Diceros bicornis minor: one gene and its partners. The protein of the gene in region 1 purifies or fractionates together with the protein of each later gene. This does not show direct contact. Links are inferred from orthologs where the notes say so. Each region holds a gene or a part of one and is shown in the gene's direction. Other genes may lie near its edges.

Region 1 (6,915 bases):
TTCAGGTAGGTCCTACTAGTAATAAACACCTTTTTACAAGTGAGGAAACCAAGGCAAGTTAAATGTTACCCCCAATCACACAGCTAGTAGGTGGTGGAACCAGGCTTGAAACAAGGCATTTTGGCACCAGAGCACAGATTCAATCTCCACGCTCTGCAGTTTCTCCATCAGACAGATTTGTTTATTATCATATCTCAGCCTCACTAATGATTTCAGTTTCTCCTGCAAGATTTCTGGGCTCCCATTGCAAATCAAGGATGTAGCTGGGTATCAGTTTCAACGTCCCCAAATATTCCATGCCAGTTTAATTCCAGGCACTGCCTTCTCACAGCACACAGTAAATTTAATGGGCTGGCAATTTCCTCTCTATAAAATTACAGTTTTCAAAAACAACACTTTTATACTAGATTTTAATAAAGGCAAGTGGTAGCAGGCATTAAAAGGTTAAGAAAAATTCAAGGAGGCTAAACTTTTGGTTGAGAAATTCAGCTCATTAACTTATTTTTTTCGAAGTGAATTTGGAGATGAATCTTTATTTGCTCTTTGTTATATATATACCATATTTTTCACCACCTGCACAGATACCATCTGGTCCAATCAACCATTATTCCTTGACTGAAATATTATTGTATTAGCAGGCTATCTGGTCTTCCTTCTTCCACTTGGACCTCCTACAAGTGATTTCTCCAGAAAGTGGCCGCAGTGACTCTTTTTATGACTTTGAGTCTTGGTTCAAACTCATCTAAGACTTCCCATCTCACTCAGCTCATGTTAAAACTGGGGTATGAGTACTCTTTGGGTACTCCCGTGGAAAAAATTTTTCCAAGGGTATAGAAGGATAGTTTTAAGGGAATTAATCACATATACATAAATTAATTATATATACACGTAATATATACATTTTAACTCAGTGCTTACATCTATAAAATGAAAATTGGAATTGATATAGGACCCTATCTGTTCCTAGTAATGTTATATACATCCATATCTACATGAACTAATTGAAAAAAAAATTACCAGCCATTTCACTAAGACGTTCCCAGTAACACTTTTTCATGTTTAATATTTAATAAAATACCTTTTTTTGATTATGTACTTTTACAATGGATGACAGTGTTTGTTAAACCACCTGTTTACTTTTCCATTGGATAGATTTAAAATAACGTAACAATTAAAAAATGTCAGTATTGCAAAATGTCAGAAATTGCACTTTTTGCAACTTCACTCATAATGAAAAATTTTAGAGTCAACTTACGTTTCAGGGTAGAAAATAGTTTTTCAAAGTTCTTTTCAAGGGCACAAAACTTAAAAAAATTGAAGACCATTTCTGTATATGATCTGGCCCCCTTAATACTCATCTCATGTTCTACTACTCTTTCCCTTGTTCCAGCCACTGCAGCCACATTGACTCTTTGCTGTTCCTCTAACAAACCAAGAATCCCTCTCTGCCTCCGACCCTTTATACTTACTGTTCCTTTCCTGAAACACTATTCTTTCTGCAGGAGAGCCACAAAGCTTGTTAACCTATCAACAGAGGCCTTCCTCAATCATCTCCAATCTCTTTTACTCTGCTTATTTTTTCTTCATAGCATTTATCACTCCCTGGCATATATTTATTTGTCAATCTTCCCCCATTAGATTGTAACCTCCTTGAAGGCAAGGATGTCCTTTGTTCTCTGCTGTAATCCTAGCGTCTCTAAAACGCTACCTGTTACATAGTAAGAGGTCAGTATTTTTGAACGAGTAAGTGACAAACGTTTCGAGGTGGCTTATTGTAAGGACTTATGCCAGCTCAAAGAATAACAGTCTCTTGGGAATACGGAAGAAGAAAGCACTTCATGATCCTAACACTAAAACAGCTGTGCACTACATAAAAATCCCCACAGGACTTGTTTTTCAAATAAAGACAATCCTTTCTGAAAGCTTCTATTACCCATATTGTTACGGCATTTATAACCCAACTCATGACAGGATACAAAGTGGCACTCTCAGGACACAATATTGGTTAGATCCGTGGCTCCCCAAACTGACGCACGTCAGAAACAGCTGAAGCGACTTTCAACACCCAGCAGCCTCTCCCTCACTTCCCGATACAGGTCTGAGGTGTGGCCCTGGCACCACTGCTTTGAAAGAGCTCCTCAGTTGAGTGGTTTTCTGATACGCAGCAACGTCCGAGAATCAATCACCTTAAGAAACTAAAAATGGCTGTTAAAAAGTTTCTTCCTCACCCAGCCTTCTCAGCCTATTTCTAGTACTCTCTCAGCTTAAGGAAAAAACCCGCTTTATTGCTCCCCTTTGGCACAATCGCCCAAAGGAACGCGGGTCCCAAAGACCCTCCTGGGAGGTCGGCACCTCGGAGCCAGGAGGCTCCGGCGTCCGACCGCGCGGCACGCGAGGTTTCTGCGGAGACGCGCCCGCCCCTGGGGACGGCGCCGCCCGGGAGACGCTCTCTCGGCAAGAAGCGCCCCGGCCTCCTAACCTTCCACCCTTTCCCGCTCTTCTCCCCGCACCACCGCTGCCTCCGAGCTCGTAACCACCACGGACCAAAGGCAGCTGAGCGTCAAAGGCCCCTGACTTGAACAGCTCACTGCGCGTAGAGACGCCGTGGCGCGGACGCAACGCGTCGGCCCCGGCAGTTGGGGGGGGCGGCGAGGACAGCTCCGCGCCCGCGCCCCGAGTTCCCGCCTCCCTCCAGAGGACGTCCGTGCGTGCGTGCGAGCGCCGCGCCCGCCCTCCTGCAACCGCGCGACGCGAGGGCGGGGGCGCCGCCTGCGCGCGCGCTCTCGTTCGTTTGCTTGCCTGCTCGCTCTCGGCAGCAGCTCTCGCTGCGGCTGCGGCTGGGGCTGGGGGCGGTGGCGGCGGCGCGGGCGGCGGGAGGCGGGCGGCGCGGGGCGGTCCGGCGGGTTCAAAGAGGAAAACATGGCGGAAAACAAAGGCGGCGGCGAGGCTGAGAGCGGCGGCGGGGGCAGCGGCAGCGCGCCGGTGACTGCCGGGGCAGCCGGGCCCGCGGCGCAGGAGGCGGAGCCGCCTCTCGCTGCGGTGCTGGTGGAGGAGGAGGAGGAGGAAGGCGGCAGGGCCGGCGCGGAGAGCGGCGCGGCCGGGCCTGACGACGGGGGGGTGGCCGCGGCCTCCTCGGGCTCGGCCCCGGCTGCCTCAGCCGCTGCGGCCTCAGTGGGCCCTGGAGTTGCCGGAGGGGCGGTATCGACGCCGGCCCCAGCTCCAGCCTCGGCTCCCGCCCCAGGTCCTTCGGCGGGGCCGCCTCCTGGACCGCCAGCCTCTCTCCTGGACACCTGCGCCGTGTGTCAGCAGAGCCTGCAGAGCCGGCGTGAGGCGGAGCCCAAGCTGCTGCCCTGTCTTCACTCTTTCTGCCTGCGCTGCTTGCCCGAGCCGGAGCGCCAGCTCAGCGTGCCCATCCCGGGGGGCAGCAACGGCGACATCCAGCAAGGTGAGCGGAAGGCCCTGCCCCAGGTCGGGGTCGAGGAGGATTTGGGGACGGAGGTGCTTGGGCCCGGGGCTGCTCGGACCAGCGCGATCCTCAGGGGTCTAAGAGGTGAAAGATACGGCTCCTGGGACAGTTTCCAGAGAAGCCGGCCCGCCGGAGATATGGGGAGGGTGAAAGGAGGGGTGCCTGCTGCGAGAGACTGGGGGAGGGGACACCGGCTGCAAGGACGGTTTGTGATGTGCGGATCCGGACCGGGAAGGCGTGGACTCCGGCCGAGCGCAGGTTCGGCAGCTGGTGGGCCCGGACTGTGAGAGAAGAGGGGGTCTGGGAAATCGCTTGTGACAAGCGTTTTGGGAGGGAAGGCCCGGAGCCAGGAGAGGTGTTGAGGAGGGAGTAGGTAACGGATGAGGGCTGTGAGATGAATTGTCCTAGAGGGAGAGGACTTGACCTGTTAAAGGCTAGGGGAAAGAAGGACTAGGAATTAAATAGAGGAGGATAAAGGGCACTGGAGAGTTTGGGGCTAAGAGAAGGCGTCTGGTAGAAAGTAGTTTTAAGATGACATTGGGAAGGAGGAACTCTGGAAACGAAAATAGCTATGAGGAGCTTGGATGGTTAGGAAAAAATCCTAAGGTTTAGGGGTGAAGGAGAAATGAACTTTGAAGGGAATTGGGAGTTAGGGAGACCTGGGCGTGAATTTCAGTTAATTGTACATTGACGAGCTCCTAATGTTCCTGACACTTTGCTATGATTCAATAAAATACTCAGTGAGGGGCTCATTCACAGTCTGATGTCGGGCAACAAATATATAATGTACAGCATTGGAGGTGGGTACTTGGTACAATGGTTGTGGCACAGTCACGAGGAGATCAGGGAAACTTCACTGAAGAGGAAACCCTTGGACAGGTTTCTTAAAGGATGAGTGGCTTACTGGGTTGGAGAGTATTCAGGGCACAGGACACCTTACACATCCCTGGAGCTGAGGGATGTGTAAGGTGATTGGTGGAAATTAGATTGGCTTGATGGGCTGAATAGGTAAGGGGTCTGCAGTCTTTTATCTGAAACCCTTGGGACCAGGTGTATTTTAGACTTCAGAATAGTTTGGAAAAGTTTCTTTTTCCTGGTAAGGTCTCTCTAATGCTCCAGCGGGATCTGGGTTGACAACTCATTATCAAACACATTAATATTTCTGCAGTGAAACGTACAAATGTCACACAAATGGAATGGACAATAAATAGCCTTCTTTCAGGGTGGGTTTTGTTGCAAACTTATGAAAAATCTTTAAAATTTCAAAACTTTTGAATTTTGGAACTGCAGGTAAGGGATTGTGGACCTGTACTAAAGAGTTTGGGATTCATCCTGTACAAGAGTGTACCTTGTACAGTGTAGACTAAAGGGAGTCCCTGAAGGACTTTTATATCAAGAAGGTAAAAGGATCACGTTTGTGAGCCAGAAAGATTACGTGGGGCACGTTGAAGGGCAAGGGAAGGCAAGGCTGGAGGCAGGACCAGTTAGGAGAATCTTGGCAGTAATTTAGGTGAGAAATGAGCCCATTTGGAATGAGTAGTAAAGGACTGATATCAGGTATTAAAGAAGGAAGCAGTTTGGTATGGGGGAAAGCTATGGACTTTGTGAGACATGTTTGAGTTTGGATGTCTACTTTGTCGCTTCCTACTTGTGACATAGATTAATTTTTCTTTTTTTTTAAGATTTTATTTATTTATTTATTTTCCCCCCAAAGCCCCAGTAGATAGTTGTATGTCATAGCTGCACATCCTTCTAGCTGCTGTATGTGGGACGCAGCCTCAGCATGGCCGGAGAAGCGGTGAGTGCCCGGGATCTGAACCCGGGCCGTCAGCAGTGGAGCACACGCGCTTAACTGCTAAGTCATGGGGCCGGCCCAGATTAATTTTTCTTAGCCTCAGTTTTCTCATTTGTGAAACAAGGACAAAATTCTCTACCTCACAGTGTTATTGATAGAATGAAGTGTGTAAAGTGACTAATACATGGTAGTTTTTAATGAAATGGAAGCTAGTTTATTATTAATAGTAACTAATTGTAAGTAGCCATGGGAATGGAGATGAGGAGTGATTTGAGATTGGTGTGAGGGAAACAAACATGTCTAGGCTGAGTTCCAGGTTTCTTGTTTGGTGGATGGCAGTGCTGTTAATGCAAATAAAAGAATTCAGGCACAGAAGCAGGTGTGTGTGGTGGAGGGAGGATAAAATGATTGCAGTTTTGGATGTTTTGGGTTTGAAGTATTATTGAGACACGCAGGTAAGAATGTTAAGAATAAGGGTTGATTGATGGAGAAGATACTAAATGATAATGGATGTATATAGAGGATGGATGATGGATGTGTAACTAACTACTCATGGCCTCATGAGTATAGTCAGACGTGGGATTCAGTGTTCTTTTGGGAACCTGGATTAGGTGAGATATTTAGAGGGAACACAAGATGAAAATTGTGTTTGATGTGGCTGAGAGACTTAGGTTATGAAATTGGCTCTCTGATATTTATGCAGGGGAGAGAATAATAGTCTGTAAATTCTTTTCATTTCTTCATCCTTTGTTTTTGAACTAGGAGAAATAAGTACGTGGGACTAAATAGTGTCAATCTTAAGATAATGTTGCTTTCTAACCAGTATCTGAAACAAATTAAGTCTGGAAGCCACCATGTTTTTAGGCAGGGAGTCTAGAAAATAATTTTTTTTTTTTTTTGTAAGGAAGATCGGCCCTGAGCTAACATCTGCCAATCCTCCTCTTTTTGCTGAGGAAGACTGCCCCTGGGCTAACATCCATGCCGATTTTCCTCCACTTTATATGGGACGCCGCCACAGCATGGCTTGACAAGCGGTGCGTTGGTGTGCACCGGGATCTGAACCAGCGAGCCCCTGGCCACTGCAGCGGAGCGCGTGCACTTAACCGCTTGCGCCACCGGGCCGGCCCCATAGAAAATAATTTGTTAGTATTAACAACTGTATGTATCCTTTACTTTGCTCTTTAAAAAAGCAAGCATGCTGTTCTGGAAGGAACACTGGATTTGGAGTCAGGGGACATAGTTCTGCCACTTAATTGTTTTCTGGTTCCTTCAGGTTCATAATGTTTCTGTCCTTCAGTTTCTTTATCTCTAAAATGTAGCTAATAGTCCTTCATTTTTATCTCATTAAGTCAAATTAAATAATGAATGTGAAAATGCTTTTATAAACTGTGAAATGCTTTGTAATTGCAAGGTATTATTGAACAAGCTGTGATTCCATATCTGGTCTGGGAGCCACAGCTGGTAATTTAATTCACCATCTTAAGTGGTTCTGAAACAATGACAGGGACATTACCCTCCCTTCTAACTGGCCTTTTTTCTTTTCCTTTAACACACCAAAGTTATTCACACCTTTTAGCTGTTCCCTCTAGATTGATGGCTCTCCAGGTGTGGTTTCTGGACCAGCAGCATCAGCATCATCTGTGATCTTGTGAGG
Region 2 (6,915 bases), on another chromosome or scaffold:
TTCAACACTGATGAAGACCATCAGTATGTAAGAATTACAATATTCATTACCTTGCAGTGCTTCTTTTTTTCTAAGGTATTCTCTGTTCAATTCTGAGATAAAGAAACTATCATTTATTTCAGTGTTTTTTATTTCATATTATACAATTAATTTTACTAATAATTTCTGACAATCCTTAAGTAGACCTGCAAAAATGTGGCTGAGTGTGAGCCTTCCTATCTGCATCAGATCTACCCTGCTTAGTTTCACTTGCGTTCAAACCTGTATCTTTGAGGCCAAGACCTTGGAAGTTCAAGGACAAAGTGAATTTTAAATTGGTACATTTGCTACTTTGATGAATAATAAAAAAAAGGCCTTCAAAGCTTGATTAGTTCTAGCCACATTTGCCTGTCACTATATCTCAAACCACTGTACACAAAATCACAGGCACAAAAGATCCTTCCCTCAAAAAACAGATTCCTGGGGAAAGCAAATCAAAAGAACAGGGGAGGGGATAATGTGTTTGATTTCTCAAAAGTCTATTTACTGTCCAATTTATTTTGGTCCTTAGGCCTTTGGACATGCTAGCAAGTAATTATTTTTATGGCTGATAAAATGAGTACTAAACATTTGTCATTAATTGCAATTTGAAATCACTTTTTTTTTAATCTGTCATTTTGGTTTCTAAAACTTGTTTCTTCTCGCTAGACACGAGCCAGGTGTCCAGAGTTGACCGGATGCCAAGTCTCAGGACTGTCCAGTCTTCCACATCAGATCTTCAGCAGGGCCTTCTGAATATTCTCGCGATTAGAAAAATCTATCCCCCAGACTCGCAGATGCTGTTCTCCCCCCACTGGCTCTGCACAGAACATCATTATCTTTGTCGAGCTTCTGTCTCTATGGCAATAACAGATGGGAAGTGCTGCGGAATTATTCATGTTCAGGAAAGGAGGCAGTCAAGAAGGAGGGAAAGGTGGGGAGTGGGAGAGGGGGCACGACCCAGGAGCACAGCGATGGGGGCGTAAGGAAGGGAACTTGGAAGTGGGAGGGAATGAGAGGCTTGTGAGCCTTTGGTAGGCCAGTTGGGTGGAAAAGAGGAAAAAAAAAATCTATGAGCATAGGAATATTGCCAGTCGGCCAGCTCCAAATGTGGACCCCATATGAGCGACCCCGAAGTAGTAAAACCAGGATAAAATGGACGATAATGGGCAAAAAGGAAAAAAAAAAGGGGGGGACAAAGCTCCAGTCTTCTGAATTCTATGCACTGCGACTCAGTGGACTATTTCAGTTCCTGATCTTGTGGTGGGGTGGAGAACAGGGGATTTCTCGATATTTCGAAATATGACAGAGCAGCTCGGCCGAGTTCAGTATGTTAATTGGCTATCCTGGGAACACTGGCCAGGAAGACCGCTCTGCTCTACTCGCCCCTGAGGGCCACAGCCGAAAGCTCTTGGGCTGTACCTTTCCTCGTCTCATCTCGTCTTCCCTTAGAAAACAAACCCCCAAACCCCTCAGTAAACACTGCAGAAACATGTAATTTCTAGCACCCTTTCGGAACCGAGAGAGCAGTCTGGTGGGAAGAGGGGAAAGGGAGGCTGAGAAGTAGGGACAAAAATGTTTCTCTCGGTTTTGCCGGAACTTTGGCCAGCCCTCGGGCCTGGCCCGATGGCGGATGGAGGTCAGCCCGGGGAAGGCGTCTGGGCGGAGGCGGCCCGGGCCAGGCGGGGCCGCGGGGGTGGGGCGGGGCGCAGGCAGCTGGCGGGGCGGCCCTCGGGCGGGAGGCCCCGCGGGGGTGGGGGGCAGCCCCGGCGAGCAGGGCCCACGCTGGGGGCGCTGCGGGGCGGCCGCCACCCGGCTGCCTCCGGGGCGGGGCGGCCCAGCTGCGGCCCCGCGGGGGGAGGGGCGGCCGTGCCTGACCTCGGGCGGCGGCGCTCTGCCGGGCGGGCCCCGCCTCCGCTCCGCCGGCTGCTGGGGTCGCGCACAGTGCACCGCGCGGCCGCCCTGCCCCCCGTCCCCCTGGCGCGCGGCGGCCGAGCGGCCCGGGCGCCCCCGGGTCTGGCCCGTCACCACAGAGCAGCGGGTGGGGCGGGGGGCGGGGCGGTGGCGGCCCCAGACAGCCGGCTGAGCGACTCGAGGAAGGAAGGAGGGCGGGCGGACGGCGGTGGGGGTGGGGCGGGGAGGGAACATCCTGTCTGCGCCGGGTGCACCGCAGACAGCACCGCGCGCCAGCCGCCCAGACGGCGCGCGGGGCCGGGAGCGCCGGGCGCGCGCCTGGGGGGTGGGGCGCGCGCGCGAGACGACGGGGCGGGGGGAGCCCGGGGGAGCCACAATAGGCCAGACGGCGCGCGCGTCCCTGAGGGACTGGGAGCTTCGAGGCCAGGGCGGAGACGGCGACGCCGGCGGGCCCGCGCGCGCGGTGCCGCCGCTGGCTCCGTTCCCTCCCCTCCCCTCCCCCTCCCGCCGCCCTCGCTCTCCCCCGGGCGGCCGGAGACGGCGGCGGCGTCTGCGGGAAGCCGTGTGTCTCCGCAGTGACGTGGGCGGGCCGAGGGCTCGGTGACGTCAGAGGGCTGTGTGTAGCGATGTGTGTGGGGTTCGGAGCGGCGCCGGCACAGCCGAAGGGAGCGGGCGAGCGGCGGCGGCGGCGGGCACAGGTGCGGCCCGGGCTCGCGAGGGGGACGCGGCGGGAGGAGAGGGGCGCGGGGCCCCCCGGGAGCCCGACGGCGGCGCTAGGGGCGGGTGAGGAGTTAACAAAGCTCGTCGAGCTTCGCCGGGAGCGGAGGCCGGAGTCGGGGGTCCGGATGCGCGGGTCCCGGGTGGGGTCGGGGCCACGGGCGGCGCGGGGCGGGGGTCCCACGGCGGATCGTGCCTCGCTGACCCCGGGCGGTGGGCGCGGGCAGGGGAAGGGCGCTGCACTTGACCGGAGCCGTCGGGACCCCGGAGACCAGCACGCCCGTCGCCGCCTCCCCCACCTCCGGCGCCGGTCTGCGCTCGGTGGGGATGCCCCGAGCTCGACCTGGTCGACCGGCGCCCGGCGGCGCGGGGATCCCGGCTCGGGCGCCCCACCCGCCCGCTGACCCCTCTCCCTTCTGGCTCCGGGCGGGCGGGGGGAGGTGCCGTCTTAGGGGTGCTGGGGTAACACCCGAAAACTTCCCGGGGAGAGGGTGCGCGGGGGATTTCCACCGTCCTCCCCGCGGCCCCCGCAGTGGGGCCGTGTTGCGAGGGCACTTGGGGTTGTCGTGAGACTGCGGGTGGGGGTTGGGGGATTCCTCTTCCTGCACTTCCCACTCCCCCCTTGCACACCCCAAGGCGTCCCGGGTGCCTTGTCTTCGACTCTTCCCCTCCCCCTCGGGTTTGAGATGGGTGGGCGGCTTTGCGTGGGCCGAGGATTTCAGGGTTTGGGGGGCTCCCCGGTTCTAGGTCATGCCTGCTGCCCTCTTCCTTGGCCTGCGTTGGCTGAGGTGTTCCTGTGGTGGGCGAAAGTCAGTACATTGGCTACTGGCCTTGGTCCTTAACCCTTTGGGTCTGTTTTAAGGTAAATTGCTGGGAGTTTGGGAGGCAAAAATTTCTATTTATTGGATTTCTTTTGGATTTTTCTGTCAAGAAGGAAGTGGAAGAAGAATCTTTTCTTTTTCCCTCTTCCTCCATTTGCATTCTTTGTGAGGTCTGTCTGCCTTGTGCTTTTTGTCCCGGATTAGTCTTGTTCAAGGATGGAGATTCCCAGGAGTGGAGTCTCTAGCTTTTGGCTTCCATTAAGCAAATTCGCTAATCTTTTAAAGGGAATGTTAATTTTTGCCTGCAGTCATTCCAGAAAAATAGCATAAACTGACCAGATGAATTGATGCACTTAAGATTGTAACTTAGTTACATATGGTAGATATGTTAACTCGTGTCTGATTTTTTTGGATCAAACTGGTGTTTTTTTTTTTTTTAAATTAGGAGATGAAGTAATGGATTATTTTAGTTAAAATGGCATAACTGAGAAAGCCTCTAGTACTGAGTTTTGGGTGAGATGATCTGTTTAAGGTTCTTCCAATTCTGAGTTGGGGTAGCCCTCACCCTCTTAAGGGATATTACTGCTCTCTTTACCCATTCTCCAAATTGCTTTCCTATTTGAATGAAGGTTCTTCTAGTTAACTGGTGTTAGATTTAAAAAAAAATGAAGTGTCACCTTTGGTAAAGTGAACTTAGTTTAAGATTAAGAAACTAGTTTCAAACTGAGCCTTTGGCCTCTGGAGCAAATTCAAATGTAACTCTTCCCCCATCCCCATTCTCTTCCAGATTCATTAAAAGAAGAATGAACAGTAATCCTTGAAGATAACTGGCCAGTTTTTCTTTAGGTATCATTTTTAACTGTAGAAGTTCAAGTGGAGTGAGAGGCTCTTGCTGGTGTGAGGATTTATTCAAGTCTTCAGGTTGTCGACACAGACCAACAGATCATTGTTTTTAGAGAAGAATTTTTTTTCTTTTTTTGGTGTCCTTGGTGCCAAAAATTAAATTTGGGTGCATCATTTTGACTTGTGTTTGTGTCTAGGTTTTATGATACAGTAATCACATAAACTTTTCATGTGTTTTGCTTAAAACCAAACCAAACCATTGCATTGAACCTGGACATCTTGAATTGAGAGGATTGGTAACTTTATTTTAATACGTATATCCGAAGAATTAAAAAAGAAAAAAAAAAACTTCCTCAGAGGTGTGCCTCTTCAAATCATATTCTTTATTATTAAAGACAAAACAAGGAATTTTTAGCATTTGTAGTGAAATTATACTAGAGTATAAGCAGAACCAAAACAAAGTTGCAAAATCTATTCATTAGGGAGATCTCTCTTTGGAAATTTAAATTTTCTATGAGAGTAAATTACCATAAGTATTGGTGTATATCGCTTTTCTCTCTTCAAATAAGCAACTAAATAACAATGCAAATCTCAGACTTACTTATTTAACCGTAGTTTTTAGCAATGGAAAACCTACAGACAAATTTCCCCTTGGTTCAGGGTTCCAATAAAAAACTGAATGGGATGGGAGATGATGGCAGCCCTCCAGTGAAAAAAATGATGACAGACATTCATGCAAATGGAAGAATGATGATCAACAAGATGCCAACAGTAAAGAAGGAACACTTGGATGACTATGAAGCGCCCATGGAAACTAATGGAGAGCATGTCAAGCGAACCTGTGCCTCCGTGCCTGAACCTTTGCATTTAAATCCCAGTTTGAAACACACTTTGGCACAATTCCACTTAAGTAGTCAGAGCTCTCTGGGTGGACCAGCAGCATTCTCCGCTCGGTATTCCCAAGAAAGCATGTCACCTACTGTATTTCTGCCTCTTCCATCTCCTCAGGTTCTTCCTGGTCCACTACTCATCCCTTCTGATAGCTCCACAGAACTCACCCAGACTGTATTGGAAGGGGAGTCTATTTCGTGTTTTCAGGTTGGAGGAGAAAAGAGACTCTGTTTGCCCCAAGTCTTAAATTCTGTTCTCCGTGAATTTTCACTCCAGCAAATAAATACAGTGTGTGACGAGTTGTACATCTATTGTTCAAGGTGTACTTCAGACCAGCTTCATATCTTAAAGGTCCTAGGAATACTCCCATTCAATGCCCCATCCTGTGGGCTGATCACATTAACTGATGCACAAAGACTATGTAATGCTTTATTGCGGCCACGTACTTTTCCTCAAAATGGCAGCATATTGCCTGCTAAAAACTCATTGGCCCAGTTAAAGGAAACTGGCAGTGCCTTTGAAGTGGAACATGAATGCTTGGGCAAATGTCAGGGTCTGTTTGCACCCCAGTTTTATGTTCAGCCTGATGCTCCGTGTATTCAGTGTCTGGAGTGCTGTGGAATGTTTGCGCCCCAGACATTTGTGATGCATTCTCACAGATCACCTGACAAAAGGACTTGCCACTGGGGCTTTGAATCAGCCAAGTGGCATTGCTATCTTCATGTGAACCAAAAATACCTAGGGACACCTGAGGAAAAGAAACTGAAGATAATTTTAGAAGAAATGAAGGAGAAATTTAGCATAAGAAATGGAAAGAGAACGCAATCCAAGGTAAGTTTTTTTTTTTTTTTTAAATAGCAATTTTGAATAACGGTAATGGTTTACTTTGAAATCAAAAGTCTATTTAGAATGTAACGTAACCTGTGTGTTAAACTGTTAGTGCTCATATAACAACAACAAGAAATACTGATCTATGTGATATGTTTGTTTAACACATTTTAGGCTATAAAGTGCTTTCCTGTGTGCGTTCTCATTTGATCTTCCAAACAGCTTAGTGAGAGAAGTAGAATTATTCCCATTTTACAGGTTCAGAGAGATCAAGTGGCTTTCCCAAGATTACATAGCCAGAGAGTGGAGGATTTGGGGCTTCTTTCTCAAGTCATGTACTCTTTTTCACGCGTCCTCCTTTTTGATGACTATATTGGTTGTTTTCCTAGGAGTGAAGATAATTTACACTTCGGTGTTATTTCCATTTGCAAATGGTATAATAGCTAGCCAAAACAATTCTGGTGGTGGGCTCCTCACAGCATTTTTTCAAAGGTACATCTACGATTTCTGACATTATTTCTATAGTTGGATGTTTGGCCTTGATCAATATTAGAAACAAATGGAAAAAACAGATGTATCTGAAGAATTTGTGATTCTTTTTTTTTTTGTGAGGAAGATCAGCCCTGAGCTAACATCTGCCAATCTTGTTTTTGCTGAGGAAGACTGGCCCTGGGCTAACATCCGTGCCCATCTTCCTCCACTTTATATGGGACGCCACCACAGCATGGCTTGACAAGTGGTGTGTCAGTGCGCGCCCGGGATCCGAACCGGCGAACCCCAGGCTGCTGCAGCGGAGTGCGCACACTTAACCGCTTGCGCCACCTGGCCGGCCCCTAGATTCTTTTTTTAAAAAGGAATAATTTTAAAAAATTATGACAGATAG
Region 3 (6,915 bases), on another chromosome or scaffold:
TTGAAAATGAAAATCCAGGACTGCAGAAAGACCAAGCCAGGATTACTCTCTGTTACTGATAAGCTGGCAACTGAAGCAAATGTAGGTTTGCGGAGGCTAATTCGGCCCAGGGTTTTGGTTGGGTATTTCCTCTTCAAATCTCCCCCTCCATGCTCCCTAGGTTTACAATTTAGAATTTCTAATAAATCTGGGGCGTGTTCAAACAAGCAGCATCTAAGCTTCTAAATGGACAGGAAAAGAGAGGTGTTATTTAACCCAGTGAAATTTTGCCTTTCAAATTTGAGTTTTAATTCACTGCCATCATTACAGGGGTGGCCGCTCTCAACTTCTGCCCCCTGACCTGCCATTTTTTTAAATGATCTCTTCCTTATCTCAAGGCATTTTTCTCCTCCCTTGAGGACATCTGAATTACCAGCACAACTTATTGAAGATGAGGTTATGTTATTAGAAACTTTTACTTAAATTGTCTGATCACTTGGAACAAAGCGAGGTTTTTAGACTTCGGTTCTTCTGGCTGCTTCATAGTGACACATGCACATCAGATACCCTCCTATATGAATAAACCAGAGGACAGGGCTCGGGGAGGAGGAATCAATTAAGTGATGTGTTGTCCCACCTTTTGAAAATGACAGCAAATGTCTTATCTTTCCTAGCATTGGTCCTTTAAGAGTCAAAAGCTCCAAAACTCTATGCCATATCAGGAAACAGTAACATGCTCAGGCCATTATCAGCAACTCATAATTGTTCTCACTGTAAGCACACAACCTGAATGCCAAATAAATGCTGTGGAATCACTCGGTGAATATGTATAGACCACTCCCAACTAGTCTGGAAGCCTCTTAAGAAGAAAGCACCTTGAACTTTTAATAGCTAACCATCCCCCTGCCCCACAAGGGAAGGCACACAATAGGTCTCCAATAAATAATCAATCATTGACTGATTTCTCATCTTCTCCAATGGGCATGGGAGAGAAACAGCAAACAAGTGTTAAAACATTCCACACTGTAACTGATCAGTAGAGAAAATAAGGCTGTGAAAAAAATTGCACAAGTATGAAGGTCACCCTGATAAAAAAAAACGTGGTGCAAGAAGACTACTGCACTTAAAATGCACACTATACATATTTGCGAGAGATGACAACACTTTCTAAAATCAAGGTTTACCAAATCGGTCTTCTTTGTTCCCCCATTGACACAGTGTAGGGATCTAATCCATCTCTGACAATCTATTCAAAATGTGAGGGGTTTTCCCCTTTTCTTTTCTTTTTACCCTTTGAACATAATCCACTCAGTCCCCATCCCCAACGTGCTTCCCCAGCAGCGGCGGGGGGACCGCTCTGGGAAGCCCTTGCTAGGGTACTCAGCGAACTTTGTTCTCCACATGGCTATTGAGGAGCGTCTCGGTTTCCTCGCGTGACTCCACCGCCTCCCTCGTTCTTCTCACACTGCGAACAGGAGTCAAGGGTGGTGCGATTCTGCGAGGCGGTCCGGGGAGGCGCTGGCCATGGTGCTGGCCTCTGAGCTCGGGACGCGAGCGCGGAGGGCGCGGGAGGAGGTGCGGTGGGTGAACGCGCAGGGCGCGGTGGGGAGCGGCCATCGAAGCCCCCGCCCCTCCCGACCCCCGGGGAGCCCGCGGGCCTGCACGCGAACTCTCCGCCGCTCGCTCCGAGCTGCATCAAAAAAGGGTGGGGCATCCAGCCACAGCTGCAATCGGAAGCCGCCCGGCCGGATTTAAGAATGGACGGCGGCCCATCCCCCCCGACCATGCGACCCCCTAGCCGGGGATCGGCCCATCCTTTACCCCCACGCGCTACTGCCCAGGCCCGGGGAGGCGCCGGCAGCCTTTGTGGGCGCACAGCCGCCCACCGCCGAGCCCGAGCCTCTCCGCACCCTGCACGGAGAAGGGGCGGGTAGGGTGGGGTGCGTGTGCAGATGCGGGGAGGCAATGTTCGAGGAGGGGCAGGACGGTGGGCACGCTGAGATCCTCGTTCTTCACCGAGCTGGAAGGAGGCGAGGGAGGGGCGACCCCCGCGCCCGGTCCTCCGTTTCAAACACCCCTCCCCCCATACCAACCTGGTCGTTGATGTTCTGCAGGGCTTCCTTGCCCGAGGCCCGCCGGATCTCCACCTTCCGGCTCGATTCAACAGATGGCTCCCCGCCGGCGCGCCGGCCCTGCCGGGAGTACGGAGGCTGCGGGTCCGGGCCCAGGTGGGCGACGTCCCGCTGCTGAGCCACCACCTGCCCCGAGCCCCGGCCCACCGACAGCGAGTCGAAGTCGATGGTCTTGTTCTCCGAGGACCCTTCCACGGGGCAGAACATGCCACAGAATTTCTGCCGGGGCTTGGGGCTGCCTGAGCCCAGGTTTTTAAAAAAGGCAGGGACCTCTTCGTCCTCCGCCGCCTTCCCGGATTGCTTCCTCTCGGCCATGGCGCGGGGGCTCGAGGAGGGTCCTCTCTGTCGGTCCGTCCGTCTGCTGGTCCCTAAGTCTGCCTCTCCCTGTGCACAAACCCCCTGGCTGCTGCCGCGGCTACCGCTCTGCGCCTACCGCAAGGTGTACAGAAAGGAAGGAGGGCTGGCGAACGGGCGGCCCACCGCTCCCGGTCCCTCCCCCTGACCCCGCTTTCTCCCCTCCCTGCCCACGCCTCCCCCCGCCGCGCGAGCTCCGGCGAGCGGCAAAGTTGGGTCTGGGCGGGTGGCCGCTGCGGCAGCGGGAGCGGAGAGGCTGCCAGTTCCCGGCAGCGGCGGGAGGAGGGAGGCGCGGGCGGGGCGGGGGCGGGGCGCGGCGCCGGGAGAGGAGCCGAGCGCAGCGGAGGGAGGGAGCGCCGCGCCGCTGGGAGCCCCGCGCTCCGGAAGTGAAGTGGCCAGACCACCGGCTAATGGATGCGGAGCGGAGGGCCCGCCGACCGCTCCCGGCTCCACCGTAAGTATGGAGCAGGGCACGCGGCGGCGAAGACCTGAGGGCGCAGCCCCTGGCTCCCGCGCCCCTCTTCCCCGCCTGCCCGGCCCAGGCGTCTCTCCCCACCACATTGCGGAGATGGGCCAAGGGCTGTGGCCCACCGTGGGGAGGGTTTCATCACCCAGGATGTGAGCTGATGGATGGGGAAAGAGGGACAAACTGACAGGCGTCAGGATACCCGGGGGGAGGGGAAGGGGCGGCACTGAGGATGGGGAAGGGATGGCGCAGGCGGCGCAGAAAGGTAGGGGCCATACGAGGCGCTGGACACCAAAGCCTTAGTTTACACACGGCCCTTGGTGGGCTGCTGGGAGCAGAGATTGAAACGAGAAGGTTCTCACTTTGTGCATCCACGGTGGTGGGAGAGGCACAGCATGGCGGGGAGAAATGCAGAGGGGCGTAGCAAACGGTGGGGAGCGGATAGAGAGAGACATAGGTCTACGGTCCGTGAGAGTGTAGCAGAGTCCAGTCCAGCACGGCAACTTATGTATTGCCCCAGGCGCCATGCACCAGTAACTGCGCCACTGCGCCAAGTAGAGCACAGGAGAAGGTCTTCATTTGGTATCTCCCGCCCCCGCCCAAAGTGGGGGAAAGCCGCAGATTAAAGCCCACTCCCCAAATCTCCAGTCCTTCTCCGGCGCCCCGGGCGCCCCGCCTCGTCCCCACCCCGCCCTGCTGCGCACTGCGCCAGAGCCGCGGGGTTTCCCAGGTGGCCAGACGCCGCGTGCCTGAGGCGTAAGTGCGTGCGCGTCCAGTGGCGGGTAGGAGATGGGGTGCTGGCTGTGATTGAGTGTCTTGGATTGTGTGAGGCCAACCTGGGGAAAGGTGTGTGGGGACTTGGTGTGTATGTACGGATAGACTAGCCACAGCCACAGGGCATCCAGGGGGGTATTTTGATTTGTGCCAGTAACACGGTCTCTGAGGGTCCTTCACGGCTTACTCCCGTCCCCACGTCCTTTCCGTGTATCAGTCTCTACCTCTGGTCGATTACAGCCCCGCCCCTCTTTCCACAGTGTCAAAATCCTGCAAAAATGATGCCCATCCTTTGGCGGCTCGAGAGAGAGGTCTGGGCATGCTCAGTAACCAGGGTGGGTTTGGGCTAAGAGGCTGTTTACCGCAGGACCGTAGCGAGGGGCAGTGTGACCAAGTATTCGGTCCCGTTGTCAGCCCTTGCCCCTAGAAGCATTAAATGCGGATACCCACCCCCTAGTTGTGAGGGATAGTTTGGTGAATGGAGTTAAATTTAGAGGACCACCACTCACAGTTTGGTGAGGAGCCCACCATGCTAGGTGGGCAGGAGTCCCCGGATGAGAAGGGGAGAAGGGGGAAGGAGAGGAATGTGCGTGTGGAGGGGCTGAGAGAACCAGGGGCAGGCTTTCGGACTTAGCACCAGATGTGCTTAGCATTTGAATAAAGTGCTTCTACGTGAATTACATCATTTCCTCCTCAAAGCAGCCCAGGGAGAAGAGTGCTTTCCTTCCAGGGCAGGAAGCTGAGGTGTAGAGCTATTGAGGAGCTTTGCCCAAGGTCACTATCTAGTTAAATGGCGCAACAATTACAGTGAAGTCTTCCACCTGAAAGTCTGGTTTCTTTTCCAACTTATCCTGTCTTTATGTGAGAAAATACAAGATTTTCACATTTTTTCCATATCCAAATATTTCCATACGGGTCATCCCGTATCTAAGAAGAGGAAAGTGAGGTACGGAAGAGTCATCGAGCTCAGATCCCTGGGCCTGCTGGGGAGGGCGTGACCCACCATTTTGCCCTCTGGCCCTCTGGCATGCGCCGCCTTCAGCACCTTCCGGGAAGACTCGGGAAATGTGCCTGCAGCAGGAGCAGCTGCCGCCATAACTGCAGGTTGGCATCTGTGGCATATGGACCCCATTAGGACTGATGGAGATTTTCAGGCCTGGGGAAGAACGGTGGTGGTTCCTAACACACACTCCACACCAGTAACTGGGACACGTTAGGAGCTCTTCCCTTTTCACAATACCCAGTCTCCACCCCCTCGCCACAGATGTGCTTCCTCTCTTTTCCTTTTTCCTCAAATGACCCGTTCAAGTTCAAATGCTATGAAGAAAGTGTCGTGTTAATAACTTACCATTCATAGCAAAAGAAACATCTTAATTTTGCTTTTGCAAAGCCTGACCAGACATAGCAAAAGAGAATTAATTCATAATTCTGAGTTTATTTGGCCCTGAGGTTTTTTAAATTGTTATACTTCTATTAGGTTGTAATACCTATATTATTATGTCATATTAAAGTATATTTTATAAATTATATTATTATGCCTATATTAAATTGTTTTTAAATATTTGAATGATTTCTAAAAGAAATGAAGCAACTCAATTTAGTAGATTTAATTAAGTTTTGAAGGATTGCCATATTTTTGAATAAGTGCATTAACAGTCTTCATCACTGGATATTATCAAGCCATAAAAATACACTATTATTTATGTATAACAGGGCAACTTGGCTTGGCTGGAGCTAAGATCCAGACACGCTGTTGTGTGGACTTGGGTGACATCTTCCTGTGCTAGAAGCTGAATAAGCTCCTTGACTCTCATGGAACATTCTGGAACGCATAAACAGGTATCTCACCACATTTCCTGATTTCATTATTCATGTGGGAAAAATCTTGAGTCCTGTCCACAACTGGGGCTCAGATATTAATCAGCACTTCTGATGAGCGTGCGGTGGGGAAGCTAGGTTGCAGGAGGGTCCCCAAGAGAAAAAAAAAATGTCACTGTAGGCAAAGAAGAGATCTGACAGAGTGGGATAGACACAAGTACAATGTCTCCCCGGGTCTCCCTCCACCTCCATCCCTAACTGGAGTACAGATGCTCCCTGGGAAGGAGAGGGCTGGTAAAACTGACCGTTCTCTCATTAGGAGTCCAAGCCACTCTGCAGTGAGACGTCTCTCCAGGACTCCTCGGGGCCAGAGGAGGTATTTCCCTGTTGACTAGAGAGGTGAAGCAGCAGAGACGGGGAAAGTGGTGAAAACAGCTCTCGAAGGTGCAGCGGACCGTCAGCAGGGGGTCAGCACCACCACGTGGCTGCTAGCATTGGCGAGAGAAACAGCAGCCACCAGACTCCAGAGCCACTGAGACACTGCCACCCACCGCAGGTCTAGAGACAACGGGAGGTGCTGAGCTCTTGCCACTGGGCAGTGAAGGTTATTGGTCCAGAAGACTGAGGCTGCTCTTGGAGTGACCTGACCCAGGTTCCATTCCCTGGTGGGTTATAAGTTTGGAAGCTCCTCCAGGATAGTCTCAGTCCTGAGGCAGTGCCCATCTGCACCACAAACTAATTGGTACCCCTAGGGTCAGAGCGAGTAAATATTTGGGACGATGGCACTGGCACTGCTGGAGGACTGGTGCAGGATAATGAGTGTGGATGATCAGAAATCGCTGATGGTTATGGGGATACCAGTGGACTGTAATGAGGCTGAGATTCAGGAGGTTCTCCAGGAGACTTTGAAGTCTCTGGGCAGGTATAGACTGCTTGGCAAAATATTCAGGAAGCAGGAGAATGCCAATGCTGTGCTATTAGAGCTCATGGAGGATATTGATGTCTCAGTGGTCCCCAGCGAGGTTCAGGGAAGGGGGGGCATCTGGAAAGTGATCTTTAAGACCCCCAACCAGGACACTGAATTTCTTGAAAGACTGAACCTCTTTCTAGAAAAAGAGAGACAAACAGTCTCTGGTATGTTCCGGGCCCTTGGCCATGAGGGAGTGTCTCCAGCCACAGTTCCCTGCATATCACCGGAGTTATTGGCCCATTTGTTGGGACAGGCAATAGCACATGCCCCTCGGCATCTGCTCCCCATGAGATACCGGAAACTGAGGGTGTTCTCAGGGAGCGCTGTGCCCACCCCGGAGGAAGAGCCCTTTGAAATCTGGTTGGAACAGGCCACTGAGATAGTCAAAGAGTGGCCGGTAGCAGAGGCAGAAAAGAAAAGGT

The links.
Region 2: the proteins of TRIM33 (region 1) and SKIL purify together in Homo sapiens (affinity purification with western blotting; 4 studies listed by BioGRID and IntAct, with this or other methods). This does not show direct contact. The link is inferred for Diceros bicornis minor from reciprocal best matches to the Homo sapiens genes TRIM33 and SKIL.
Region 3: the proteins of TRIM33 (region 1) and PNMA2 purify together in Homo sapiens (affinity purification with mass spectrometry; 3 studies listed by BioGRID and IntAct, with this or other methods). This does not show direct contact. The link is inferred for Diceros bicornis minor from reciprocal best matches to the Homo sapiens genes TRIM33 and PNMA2.

Annotation. Positions count from the first base shown.
Region 1 is NC_080743.1:47,166,608-47,173,522, reverse strand, and holds the start of TRIM33 (E3 ubiquitin-protein ligase TRIM33), read left to right. Parts: upstream 1-2,906; 5' UTR 2,907-2,919; coding exon 2,920-3,445; intron 3,446-6,915. UniProt on the Homo sapiens protein: Acts as an E3 ubiquitin-protein ligase. Promotes SMAD4 ubiquitination, nuclear exclusion and degradation via the ubiquitin proteasome pathway. According to PubMed:16751102, does not promote a decrease in the level of endogenous SMAD4.
Region 2 is NC_080754.1:51,560,503-51,567,417, reverse strand, and holds the start of SKIL (ski-like protein), read left to right. Parts: upstream 1-2,430; 5' UTR 2,431-2,630; intron 2,631-3,220; exon of another isoform or gene 3,221-3,511; intron 3,512-4,257; 5' UTR 4,258-4,937; coding exon 4,938-6,035; intron 6,036-6,915. UniProt on the Homo sapiens protein: May have regulatory role in cell division or differentiation in response to extracellular signals.
Region 3 is NC_080750.1:67,423,005-67,429,919, forward strand, and holds the start of PNMA2 (paraneoplastic antigen Ma2), read left to right. Parts: upstream 1-2,837; 5' UTR 2,838-2,919; intron 2,920-4,753; exon of another isoform or gene 4,754-4,809; intron 4,810-5,418; 5' UTR 5,419-5,544; intron 5,545-5,842; 5' UTR 5,843-6,302; coding exon 6,303-6,915. Other genes in the region: DPYSL2 (dihydropyrimidinase-related protein 2), read right to left, coding at 2,073-2,426.